Canis lupus familiaris: one gene and its partner. The protein of the gene in region 2 purifies or fractionates together with the protein of the main gene of each other region. This does not show direct contact. Links are inferred from orthologs where the notes say so. Each region holds a gene or a part of one and is shown on either strand. Other genes may lie near its edges.

Region 1 (6,264 bases), on a different chromosome or scaffold from region 2:
GAAAAAAAACCCTTCAATTACCTCAGGGTCATATAGGTTTCTTTCATTCTCAAATTTGCATTTTGAGCATGTTCTTTTATCTGTCTATAAAGAGAGACTGTTAATATTGTTTGCTGATGATTCCATATTGTGTGTCTTCATTTTGTGAACTGCCTTTTAATTTCTGTGTAAAGGAATGTTGCATTTCTTTTATATCCTCTTAATGCCAACCATAGTGTTAATCACACCTCTGAATATGTGAAGACAATAAATGATGGCTTATTATTAGTTTTATTAATAATTATTTATTAAGTGCTTACTTTGTGCCATGCAAGGTGCTAAATACTTTGTATCCATTATCTCATTTAGTCTTCATGCAATTTTGAGGTTGGCATAAGAAGTAGAGGCAAGTCACTTATATACCATTCATGTAACTAAGAAGTGACTTATCTAGGACCAAGAAGTATATTAACTATTAGAGTGAAGTGTTTACATGCGAAAGTCTTTGGAACTTGCCAAACAGTAAGGTTTCTCCTGGATAATGTAATGGCGAGTTCTTCTCCCTCTCATATTCATCCATGTTTTTAGAAAAACACCGGCCTTATAGTATTTTTAATTATTTTTATCTGTGAAACATTTTTGAAAAATGAAAATTATAATCAACTTAGAAAAACTAAGTTTTTTTACTTAGGTTTTTGGTTTTATTGGGGGTACAAATTTTGTATATGTGCTGCTGAAGTGAGCATGGGGGTGGGGCTTAAATTTTAGAGCAAAATTTTGTGCTAATAGCTCTGTAGGCATTAGTCAAAGAGCAAGCCTCAGGTGTATCTCTTTGTATTACTGTCTTGCAGAGTAAGAGATGTAATTAAAAATAATGAGAAATCATAGAACTGCTTTCTGTCTGACCAGCTCCCCCTCTGTCCAATGGGGAAGTAGTTTCAGTAAGACAGACCATTTTGTTAGTAGTGAGGTAGCTTTCAAATCAAGAAACATGTTCTGTAGATACATCCTAACTTTGAAATTCATAGATGTTGGTGGATTCTGTTAGGGATGCAAAGCTGTGATACACAAGCATTTAAGATCCAAGAGAACAATTTGATCTTTATCCATACTCCTTTATTACAAGTTGATTGGAATACAAAAAGTGAAGCTTTGTGTAAGTGAAAATATTTCTTGATATTTTTGTTTTTGATGCTTGTGTTTTCGAAAACACAAATTATAGGGTTGACCTATAATTCCTACCAATTGAAGATCTTAGTTTTCTTATGTTTAAATTTCTTCTGTGATCAAAATAAGCTTTGAAGAGTTTCAGTTCTTTAGATTAGGAAATTTAATTTATTTAGTCCCTAGATAAAGTTTGGCAATATGAAGGTTTTTTTTTTTTTTTTTTTTTTTTTTTTTTACACGTTACCTTTTTTCCCCCACTTCACTTTTCGAAGAAAAAGCTGATTGGGGAGTACTAGTATTAATGTCTTTCTGCTTATCAGAACTTCTTGTGATTATGATTTGATCTCTTGATATTTAAAAAAAAAACTTGCTAATTGTGATTTTCAAATATTCCAGCATGATACTATTCAGCCCATATAAGAATACTTTTTATTGGGCAGCCCCGGTGGTGCAGCGGTTTGGCGCCGCCTGCAGCCTGGGGTGTGATCCTGGAGACCCGGGATCGAGTCCCACGTCGGGCTTCCTGCATGGAGCCTGCTTCTCCCTCTGCCTGTGTCTCTGCCTCTCTCTCGTTCTCTCTGAATGAATGAATAAATAAAATCTTTTTTTTTAAAAAAAGAATACTTTTTATTGAGATATGGTATGCAGTAGGTTTCATTATGTAATGATGGATTAACAGGATATTTCAAAGTTTACAACTAAGAGTGGCATATTTTTATGTGAGAATCAGAATTATCGGCAGTGAATAAACATGATTAATATTTGAGGCAAAATACATGGTATTACATCTAACATTTAAAATTCCAAGTTTCAAAACAACCTTGATTAACATTATACAACATTTTTTTTTTTCCAGGAAGACTTGTGGATCAGAATCTGAACAAAATTGGGAAAGATGAAATGCTTCAAATGATTAGACATGGGGCAACACATGTATTTGCTTCAAAAGAAAGTGAGATTACTGATGAGGATATTGATGGTATCTTGGAAAGAGGTGCAAAGAAGGTGAGGTGTAGATTAAATGATTATGTTTTTAATATAAAATCTTTTAAATCAGAACTGTTTGAGGAAATACGTATGTGAGCCATAAAAAGGAGTTTTTGTGTACTGCAGAGCCTAACTTATTTTGACTACAGTTCTCAAGGTTTTTTTTTGTTTTGTTTTTAATTCTCAATATAATAAAGTGGTTTTTTACCCCTAGACTGCAGAGATGAATGAAAAGCTCTCCAAAATGGGTGAAAGCTCACTTAGAAACTTTACAATGGATACAGAGTCGAGTGTTTATAACTTTGAAGGAGAGGATTATAGAGAAAAACAAAAGGTAACTTGAGAAAGCTATTTTGGTTACTTGAAGGCCTTACTTTACTTAAAACTTGCGATTTTAAGTGTTAGCTGTAACACCTTGTAAATTTGTCTCCAAGCAGTCATTTTTATATATTCACATCTAAATTATTTTCATTTTTACATGTAATATCAAATTTTCAGTTAGTAATCTCTGAAATGTTTTAAAAGCTTATGTAATGAGGCTTACTATATACACTGTTAGAGTTGAAATATATTGTAGGGGTGATTATAATTTAGAATCTTTGAAAACAAATAATTGGCAGAATTAACATAACCTTACTAGATTTTTTTTAAAAGACATAATTGGCTGGTAGTGATTAAAGGGGAAAAACTTCGTAATTTCTTAAGTAATATTTGTTAATATATAGTGAAATTAGAAAATACAAGTTGGAAGAAAAATAGTTCTACTCAATGTTTTTTCTGTTAACATTTAAGCTTTGTATATCCTCTGGATTTGTTCTAGGCTAAATACATATCTATATTTTTCTCCTAGTTTGAGTTATAGCATTTTCTGTAGGTCTGGTCCTTCCTCCTCCTCACCAGATAAAATGTTCTCCATTTGGTCAAGAAATACTTAAGTATATCTTTGCTATTCACCATGTACTGTGCAGTGTATTAATTACATAGTTTTGAGCAAAGTATAGTCCCTTATCCTTGAAGAGCCAATGGTCCAGGATTTTATGAATATCTTGCCACTTACAAATAACAGTTGTAATGATGTATACACAGTATGAATTGCATTCATCTAAGATTTGTGACTGTAAACAGTCAAAGTTGGTGATTTGCATTGTTTCCTGTATGCTAGATTGCATTCACAGAGTGGATTGAACCACCTAAACGAGAAAGAAAAGCCAACTATGCTGTCGATGCCTATTTTAGGGAAGCTCTTCGTGTCAGCGAACCTAAAGCACCCAAGGTGAGTTGATGGAGCAATAAAATATCCAAAAATACTAGAATTGTAAATATTTTTCTTATATTCTTAATATTAAAGTTAGATTGAGAATTAAAATCTTCTGTGGCTTCTTACAGTGTATTTCCATCAGTTTTCATTAAAAAGTTTTCTTAAAAATTAGTTGTAAGTATATGCATTTAAAGTTTGATTAATGTTCACTATTAATGATAAATTCAGTTGCTTGGAGAATTAGCCATCATAAGTTTTGAGAGAGGAAGTTACAATTAAAATCAAAGCAAAACTTTTTTTTTTATGGGTAATACTGTGTTTTGTTTTTTTTTTTTCTCTAGGCTCCTCGGCCTCCAAAACAACCTAATGTTCAGGATTTCCAGTTCTTTCCTCCACGTTTATTTGAATTATTGGAAAAAGAAATTCTGTATTACAGAAAAACAATTGGGTACAAGGTAATGGAAATAACATTTTGTTCATAACTAACCTGGTTTTGTTCTTAATTTAGTAAATGGAGGGTATATCAAGTTTTTTTTTTTTTTTTTCACGGTTGGATTAAAACTTGTAAAACGTTATTTGGTTGGTTAAGAATTTAGGGCAGCCCCGGTGGCGCAGCGGTTTGGCTCCGCCTGCAGCCCAGGGTGTGATCCTGGAGACCCGGGATCGAGTCCCACATCGGGCTCCTTGCATGGAGCCTGCTTCTCCCTCTGCCTGTGTCTCTGCCTCTCTCTCTCTCTCTCTCTGTGTCTCTCATGAATAAATAAATAAAATTAAAATCTTAAAAAAAAAAAAAAAAGAATTCATCACATACTTTCTAAAATCTACTGATGGATGATATAAACAAATATTTTTTTAGGTGCCTCGAAATCCTGACCTACCAAATGCAGCACAGGCACAAAAAGAAGAACAGCTTAAAATTGATGAAGCTGAACCCCTTAATGATGAAGAGTTAGAGGAAAAAGAGAAACTTCTAACACAGGTATATATAGTCTTTATTCAACATAAAATTTAGTGTAACCATTACTTTGTAAGGGTACTATGCTTAGGTATGTTGGGGTACACAGAGAAGTACATGTTTTGTCTTTCAAAAAGTAAGTAATTGAAGATGATAAAGCATGAGCCATATGGGTGTATGCTACAGTTTGATTGTCACTAGTTGTTGAAGTAGAGAAAGAGTATAGATTTGCGCAAGCCTTACAGTGGATATGTTTTTTATTACGTTTCTTCCAGTATTCATTTTCTTTTCCTGTGAATCTTCCACATTGGTACTAAGTTACTGTTCTCAATTACAAGTCTCTTTTTGGTACTTTTTTGTTTAACAACCTTTAGGGTTTAATCAGGATCTTTTAGAATCTGGCCTTAACGTACTTTTGAAGCTTTATTTTTCTTCCACTTTCCTAATTGTTATTTCTTTGCTCTTTAGTGTATGTTTATTGCTCTTTGCAAACTCCTGCTTATCCTTCAAAATACCGCAAAATCACTTTCTCACAAAATCTCTTTTTCACAAAGCATTCCTCTCTTCCACTCAGATTTAATTGCTTGGTTATGTAAACAATATGTGATATATTGCTAAAAATACAGATCTATGTGTATGAAAAATTACCACTTTAAAATAACTTAAAATCTAGGAGTAATTGAAAATTTTCTAATACTTCAGACATACTCGTAAGTGAAATAGCATTTTACCCATGTTCACTCTGCTGTTATTATATGTTTTGTTTCCATTGCTTTGAAGGGATTTACCAATTGGAATAAGAGAGATTTTAACCAGTTTATCAAAGCTAATGAGAAGTGGGGTCGTGATGATATTGAAAATATAGCAAGAGAAGTAGAAGGGAAAACTCCAGAAGAAGTTATTGAATACTCAGGTAATTTTTAAATCATTTTAATAGATTAAAAAATATTCTCAGGTTTTTGGAGTGCTATTTGGGGAGTTCAGGTTTTATTATTCTGAGTTATGTTTTGATAAGCTAAATTTTGCCACAAGTTTTAGGGCTGTATTTTTTTTGTGTTTTTAAAAAACTGAGTTGGAAAGAAAATGTCCTCTTTTTTAAAATGGCATAGTTTTTTTTTTTTTTTTTTTTTTTCACCCCAGCTAACTGGCTATTGCCAAGAAAATAAGAATAGGTCATTGAATAATTATGCTTTCATTTTATTTTTCTCCACAACTTCTTAAGCACTATGTGCCATTGTTTCCTGAAATCACTTGAATTGTCAAGTGAAGAGGTGTAGTGTGCTGCAGTGAGTGTGCTTAGAATTCAAGAATAATAGAAATTTAAGAGTTGAGAGATACTTTTTTTTTTTTTAAAGACTTATTTATTTATTTATTTATGATAGAGAGAGAGAGAGAGAGGCAGAGACACAGGAGGAATGAGAAGCAGGCTCCATGCCAGGAGCCCGACGCGGGACCCGATCCCGGGACTCCAGGATCGCGCCCTGGGCCAAAGGCAGGCGCCAAACCGCTGAGCCACCCCAGGGATCCCCCGAGTTGGGAGATACTTAAATCATCCAGTTGATCTCATTTTTTTATAGTTGAGAAATTAAATAATCGTCTTATTTTGTAGTATTAGATGTGAGAAAAATGAAAACATTTCTTAATCCTTAGCAAATTAGAGTATTTATGATAAATTATTTATGTTTCTCCTCCTCCTTCCACCTGTCTCATCTGTCCAACTTTTATTCTTACCAGCTGTATTCTGGGAAAGATGCAATGAACTCCAGGACATAGAGAAGATTATGGCTCAGATCGAAAGGGGAGAGGCAAGAATTCAAAGAAGAATTAGTATTAAAAAAGCACTTGACACGAAGGTACAGTCTGTATTAATAAATATAGAACTTCTGAGAATATGTGAGTTAAAGGAACTTTTTAAAAG
Region 2 (6,968 bases):
TATTTCTTTTAAAAAAAAAAAAGATTTTATTTATTTGTTCATAGAGACACAGAGAGAGAATGAGAGGCAGAGACACAGGCAGAGGGAGAAGCAGGCTCCATGCAGAGAGCCTGACGTGGGACTCGATCCAGGGTCTCCAAGATCACGCCCCGGGCTGCAGGCGGCACTAAACTGCTGCGCCACCAAGGCTGCCCATGTTCTTATTTCAAAAGAATAATTCATGACCCATAAAAATTACACAATTCAAACATCAGTATCCAGAAATGAAACCTCACCAAAATACAGCCATACTCATTCCTTTCTGTATCGTCTACGGCAGCTTTTCTATTATGATGGCACAGGTCAACAGCTGTGACAGGTTATTATCCCCCCAAATCTTAAAATGTTTTCTCTATGACCCTTTCCAGAAAAAGTTTGTGAACTTTCACATGGGTAAAGAATAGCTCAGTGGTTGCCAAGGTAAAGGGTTTGAAATGACTTTGACCAAGAGGGAATTTGGGGGGTGATACAACTGTTGAATCTTGTGGTTGTGGAACTGGTTTTGTCAAAGCTCAAAACTGTATATTGAAGTGAAGATTTTCTTAAAAAATTAAAAATTTTAAAACGAGAGGAACAAAGTATCAGTGGTTACCTGCAGATAAAGGAAGGGACTGCAGGGGTACAGGGGAAAATTTGGGGTGATGGGGAACTGTCCCATATATTGATATTTACATAAAAGATTGGCTATTAAAGGATGATTTATTGGATGTAAAATTAATTCAACTTTTTTAAGATTTTATTTAATTATTCATGAGAGAGACATACAGAGAGAGAAGCAGTGACACAGGCCGAGGAAGAAGCAGGCTCCACGCAGGGAGCCCAAAGTGGGACTTGATCTCCGGTCTCCAGGATCACACCCTGGGCCAAAGGCGACACTAAACCGCTGAGCCACCCAGGCTGCCCTAATTCAACTTTTTAAAAAAAGAGAGAGAGACTAAAAAAACAGCCAAAAATTTACCCTATGTGGGGGAAAAAAAAATAGGGCTTGTAGTTTTCTCTGTGAAGAATAAAAACAATTTGAGTATAAAGAAAGGAACAGTAAAATAAGACATTTTCTTTTAAGTTTTATTTATTTACTTGAGAAGGAGCAGAGGCAGAGGGAAAAGCAGATCCCTGCTGAGCAGGGAGCCCAATGTGGGACTTGATCCCAGGACCCTGAAATCATAACCTGAGCCAAAGGCAGATGCTCAACTGACTGAGCCACCCAGGCGCCCTGAGAGATTTTCAATATACAACATGTTTTAAAATGTTTTTTAAGAAAAAATAAAAATAAAAAAATAAAATGTTTTTAAGAGAAATATGTTTATACAGAGATTATATTTCTTTTCGTATTTGATTTAATTGAGTTTTTTTTCTTCCGAGAATGAAAGTATTAGAAACGCTTATTTTTAAATTTTGCAGACTTCTCAGATAATATGCAAGACATTAGAATAGAGAGCTCCAAAACTAGTTCCACAAAGCATTGACTAAAACTATGTACAGCTTCTAATAAAGAAATTTTATTTCTTTACAGTTAATAAAATTGTAGTATTTGAACAAATCATTAAATTTTCAAATGTAACATACTACCCATATACTATGTATTTAGCTCAAACTACATCTAGTTGTTTACAAGAACTAATTTCCAGATATACATCTATGAATTTATACAACTGGTATTTAGAAGCTCTTCAAAATCTATCATCTGTAAATTAAAAAGTGAAGCAAAATTGTCTGCCTCCACAGCTTTCAGCTGCAGCAGATCAACTGGCAGTGCCTGACCATACAGGCAGCTTTCTTGGTGCCTCTGTGCCCCCGAACTGCAGTGCGGGCCCCTCAGAGAGGCTGCTGTCTGGGTCACTTTTCTTCTGGCCATTTGTGATGTGGGCACAACAGGTGCTCTATCTTAGCCAGGAAGAAATCCAATGTACTTGAAGTCTCTGAGAAGTGAGGAGTCTAAAGTCACACAGCGCTGTGCTTACTTCCAAGCAATGCTGCTAATCCAGGAGGGTCCTCAGCAGGGTGATTTCTAAAGCACTTCCTGTTTGGTCTAGGATTCTGCTTCGTCCCCGTCACTCCCATCATCGCTGTCATTCTCCTCGTCCTCGTCCCTCTTCTCTTTAAGCATTTTCAGATATTTACTAGCTAAAATCTTCTTTGGTAATATATCTTAAAAATATAAAGCTAACATCAGCAATTGGTTTTGGCAGACCACGAACACAGCAATGCAAATTTCAAAATGTGCTAGTTTCTGCTTTGAACTCTAGAACAGTTTCCAAAACAAGACAAAATTCCGACCATGCTTCTGGGTGAAATAGCAGGAAACAAGTATTGCCTCCTGACTCCTGCCAAAGACCTGTTTCCACTCCACGGACTGCAAATTATGTGCTCCTGTATGTGCTGGTGATGAGCAAGTCTGCCCACCTACCTGAGACATGCCGACTGGCCTCGGAGGCAGATGGAAGCTCTTTACAGCTGTGGCCCCCACAGCCTGTCCACAACTATTACTTTCTCTGCTCTTAGGGCCACGTAGACCAGCCCAGAGTTTTCCCTTCAGTGATAAGGAGTCTGAGGGGTGGGTCAGCCAGGCTCCCCCAGCCACCCAGCCACCCAGCCAAACATCCCTGTGCAGGTTGCTGACTTCGTTACCATTCTAGGTGAACCACATTACAAACATACTCTGACAAAACTACAAATGTCTTCCTGTGCCAGGTCATGGTAAACTTTGGCACCTGGAGAAAGCAGCAAAAAAAAAAAAAAAAAAAAAAAAAAAAATTGTCTATTTCAGTGAAAACAGGAGAAAAAATAGAAGGAAAGAAAAAAAAGGTGTAAATTACTATGTATGTTTTAACCAGAATGTCTCAAAGACTGAGTACCTGCAAGAAACTGAAAAGTTTCCGATTCCTCTGCAGTGTTTGATAAATCACTGTAGGTGAGAGCTTTCCTTTCTTTTCCGCTGCCATGTCTGTAGGAATAGGTGGCTAGATACTGAACAAAGAGTTCCTAAAACAAAACGAAAAAGTAAAATGAAAGGTATGCTCTAAAAACCTACCGCAGAACTTAATTTTTTAAATTACATTAAGGCTTAGGTGACCAGACTGCAGATTATCTTGGGTTCTCCAGTTACAGGAAGCCCGCGGGGGTCAAAGCCGGTGGGGAAGCAGGCATTGCCCTAAAGCCATTTTAGATTCCTAATGCAGGCAAAACGCTGACCAGGCATTCAGCCGTGGGTTGGAAGTGTGCAAGGACTGCAGCTCGGTCCACTCCCAACTTGCCTCCTTGACCCAGCGCAGTCGGCCTTCTCCTCGAGCACCGCGTCTCAGCCGGTTCCCTACAACGTTTCCCCATTTGCCCAAACACCTTCCCTAAAGCAACCGCCTGAGCGGAGCCTGGAGCCTCGAGGTCACCGCTCCTCACTCTAACGCCCTCCGGGCCCGGGAGGGAGGGGTCCTAGCGCCCGCCCGCGCCCCGCGCCCCGCGCCCTCACCCTCGCAGGCGGGACGTGCCGGGCGGGGACACCGAGCACCCCGAGGCCAAGGCTGCTGGGGACGCTCTCCCTCCGGGGCTCTCAACCCAAGGAGGCGTGAAGGCGCGGGTGATGTCCGGGTGACGCAGGCGCCCGGGGGCTCTGGGCCTCTAGGGCTCACTCAACTCTACCCTTTAACGGGAAACAGAAGGAAGATCCCCGGGACCCCGGGAGCACGGAGCCCCCCGGCCCCCAGCGGCGGAGGCCCGAGCCCAGGGACACCGCGCGCGGGCAGAACCGCAGCCGACACAGGGCCCGGGGCGCTAAGATGCAGGCAGGTGCACCTGGGCGCGCGCAGGTACCACGGGCGCTGATGAGGCGCGGGAGGCCCCGCCCCCTCCCCCGAGCCGCCGGAACCCGAAACCCAAGGCACAGGCCGCACGCGGGGGACGGGAAGGCGCGGGGGCCCGCGCGGGGGACGGCGGGAACGGCGCGGCGGGCGGGCCGGAGGGCGCGCAAGGGAGGACGGGAGCTGCGCGGGCCGGGCGCGGCGCCGCAGACGGAGGAGCGGGTAGGCGATAGGCGCGCGAGGGCGGACGGGAGCGGGGGGCGGGGCGGAGGGCGCGCGGGGGAGGGCGGGAGCGGCGCGCGGTGGGCGGGGCGGAGGGCGCGCGGGGGAGGGCGGGAGCTGCGCGGGGCAGCGAGGCAAGCCGAGTGGGTGGGCGGAAGGCGCGCCGAGGAGGAGGAGGAGGAGGGGGACGGCGGGCGGGGCGGAGGGCGCGCGCCCCGCGGCCGGGGTGGGGGGGGTCGGGAGGGGGGCGCGACGGTTCCGGGCGGCCCCCCGCCCCTCCGTCCTCCCGCGCGGCCCGCCTCACCGTGGCCTTGGCCGTGAGCACCAGCGCCTCCTGGTTGATGCTGGACACCTCGGGCGAGCTCTTCATGATGACCCGGATGCGGGACAGGGGCAGTGACACGAGCCGCGGCTCCCCGCACTTGTCTCTGCCAGCGACCGCGTCCGCCATCTTCGCGCCCCGCCCCGCGGCGGCCGCCGAACCCGCCGCGAGGCAGGCGGCCTGCCGGCCTGGAGGGTGCGGGAGCGGCGTCCCGCTGCCCCGTGGGAGTTGTAGTGTCGGGGAGGCGCGGCCGCGGGGGCGGGCGCCTGCCCTTCCGGGGCCGGACTACAAATCCCGAGATGCCGCGCGCCGGGGGGCGGGGGCGGGGCTTCCCGCCGGGGGCCGGCCTGCCTGCGCGGTGCGGGACCCGGGGGCTCGGCGGCGATCGCGCAGCGGGGTCCGCGGAGATACCGGGCGGGGGGCCCCGAGAAGGCGCTGCCTCGCGGCGGGGTCCACGCCGGCGCAGGCCCAGGGCTGGAGCCGCTCCGGGAGCCCGGTGTGCTGCAGCAGGACTGCGAGGGAGCCTCGGCTCTGCTGGCTCTTGTTCTAAGTGGGAAGCGGCCGAAGGGATCTGTCGGGCGAGTTCCGGGATCCCTCTGGCTGCCGTGAGCGGCGCGGGGCGGAGCGGGGAGGGTGCGAGCGGGGGGCAGAGTAGAAGGCGGAGGCCGCGGACAAGCTGCGGTGTGCCCGGGGCGGCCGAGCATCCTCAGCTCAGGTCTTGAGCTCGGGGCGGGGAGTTCAAGTCCTGCGTGAATCACGCCGTACTTGGGCGGGGGGCGGGGAGGAGATGCCGGCGTGGCTAAGGGGCGGTGAGCTGGGAGAACGGAGTCGGAGGCAGCCAGGGCTTTGTGGATCTCGGAGTTCTTCCCAGTGAGCCCAGAAGCCCTGGGGAGAGGAAGGAGGCGCGGGGGGGGGGGGGGGGCAAGAAGGGAAGCAGCGCGGCGAGGAGGCTGTTGCCAGGCCCCAGTGAGGCGCTGGGAAGGACTCGGGTTAGAGACCTCCGGGGTTCGGGCAGGACTCGGGTTAGACACCTCCGGGGTTCGGGGAGGTCTCGGGTTAGAGACCTCCGGGGCGTGGGGAGGATTCGTGTTACAGACCTCCGGGGTTCAGGGAGGTCTCGGGTTAGAGACCTCTGGGGTTCAGGCAGGACTCGGGTTAGAGACCTCGGGGTTCAGGCAAGGACTCGGGTTAGAGACCTCCGAGGTGTGGGGAGGATTCACGCTAGAAACCTCCAAGGTTCGGGCAGGACTCGGGTTAGAGACCTCCGAGGTTAGAGCCACCACGACCTGCCGGTGGGATGGGAATGAGGGGCGGGATGGCGGTGCCACGTGCCAAGATGGGGAGCACTGCCCCAGGAGCAGCTTTGGGGAGAGGTCTGGTTTGGAGGACGTTAAGCTTTAATTGCCAAACACTAGTGGTGGTGCTGAGCGGAAAATTGGACATGAGACCCTGGAATTTGAGCTGGAGTCCGAATTTTTTGTTTTGTTTTGTTTTTAATTTTTTGAACCGGAATTTAGGAACCAACATTTGTTGCGCCCAAGATTGCAAATCTGAGAAACCACCAAGGAGCCAACACCGATGCAAACACACGAGGGTTTATTAGCAAGCTCAAGCTTGGGTCCAAGTATACCCAACACAGCGGAGCAGGGACTTGGACCCCAAGATGTGTTACAGCTGGGTTTTTATGGACTGCTCTAGGGGTAAGGTGGGGTTTTTCAGTAAGGGGGGGTATGTGTGAGAATCTCCAGTAAAGAGGTCTCACAAGCTCTTGCTTCCTTATTCCGAATAAGGCCGTGCTTTGTGTTTTTTACTGTAGCTGGGGTAAGGTGGATTCAGGACCTGGTCACAGTGGCCTGGTCACAGTGGCCGGAGATGGCTACCGAAGCTACAATGGCTGTACTTGGGCCAATGTTAAACTTGAATGGCCCTAATTCTCTCAGCCTGCACACATTGTCTAGGTAGTTAAAACGGTGACCTTGAATGAATGCATTCAGGAGAAGAGTGTAGATGGAGTGAAACAGTCCCACCGCAGCATTTCAAAGTGGCAGAGAGAAGGAAAATCCAGCAAAGGAGGAAGGCCGGGAGGAACTGACCATTGAATAAAAGGAAAACCAAGAGTTTGGGTGTCCATGAAGCCGGTCAAAAGCTCTTCTGACGGACACCTCGGTGGCTCAGCAGGGAAGCCCATCTGTCTTCGGCTCAGGGCATGACCCGAGGGTCCTGGGATCAAGTCCTGAATCGGGCTCCCTGCATGGAGCCTGCTTCTCCCTCTGCCTGTGTGTCTGCCTCTCTCTGTGTCTCTCATGAATAAATAAATAAATCTTAAAAAAAAAAAAAAAAAAAAAAAGGCTCTTCTGAAAGGAGAAGCTGCTCCACTGGATGGAGCTGAGACGTAGAGTGGGAGGACTGTCCTGCCACTCAGCAGTGTGACCCCAGGCAGAGCAAGTGCTGAACCCGTTTCCTCATTTACAGAGATGGGAGTACTCCGATGTTGGGGTTAGGAGGTGTGAAAGCGCCTAGCATATAAAGATCGAAGTCCCCGCCCTGTCAGTGACCCTCTGCCCGCCACTACCTCCCTCCTAGTCAGTGGT

The links.
Region 1: the proteins of CHRAC1 (region 2) and SMARCA5 fractionate together in Homo sapiens (co-fractionation; 5 studies listed by BioGRID and IntAct, with this or other methods). This does not show direct contact. The link is inferred for Canis lupus familiaris from reciprocal best matches to the Homo sapiens genes CHRAC1 and SMARCA5.

Annotation. Positions count from the first base shown.
Region 1 is NC_049236.1:43,052,451-43,058,714, forward strand, and holds part of SMARCA5 (SWI/SNF-related matrix-associated actin-dependent regulator of chromatin subfamily A member 5), read left to right. Parts: intron 1-2,002; coding exon 2,003-2,151; intron 2,152-2,347; coding exon 2,348-2,467; intron 2,468-3,295; coding exon 3,296-3,406; intron 3,407-3,732; coding exon 3,733-3,846; intron 3,847-4,247; coding exon 4,248-4,370; intron 4,371-5,126; coding exon 5,127-5,259; intron 5,260-6,080; coding exon 6,081-6,199; intron 6,200-6,264. UniProt on the Homo sapiens protein: ATPase that possesses intrinsic ATP-dependent nucleosome-remodeling activity.
Region 2 is NC_049234.1:35,773,522-35,780,489, reverse strand, and holds CHRAC1 (chromatin accessibility complex protein 1), read right to left. Parts: upstream 4,590-6,968; 5' UTR 4,507-4,589; coding exon 4,360-4,506; intron 4,056-4,359; exon of another isoform or gene 3,983-4,055; intron 3,022-3,982; coding exon 2,895-3,021; intron 2,751-2,894; coding exon of another isoform or gene 2,686-2,750; exon of another isoform or gene 2,194-2,685; intron 2,188-2,193; coding exon 2,069-2,187; 3' UTR 1,517-2,068; downstream 1-1,516. UniProt on the Homo sapiens protein: Forms a complex with DNA polymerase epsilon subunit POLE3 and binds naked DNA, which is then incorporated into chromatin, aided by the nucleosome remodeling activity of ISWI/SNF2H and ACF1.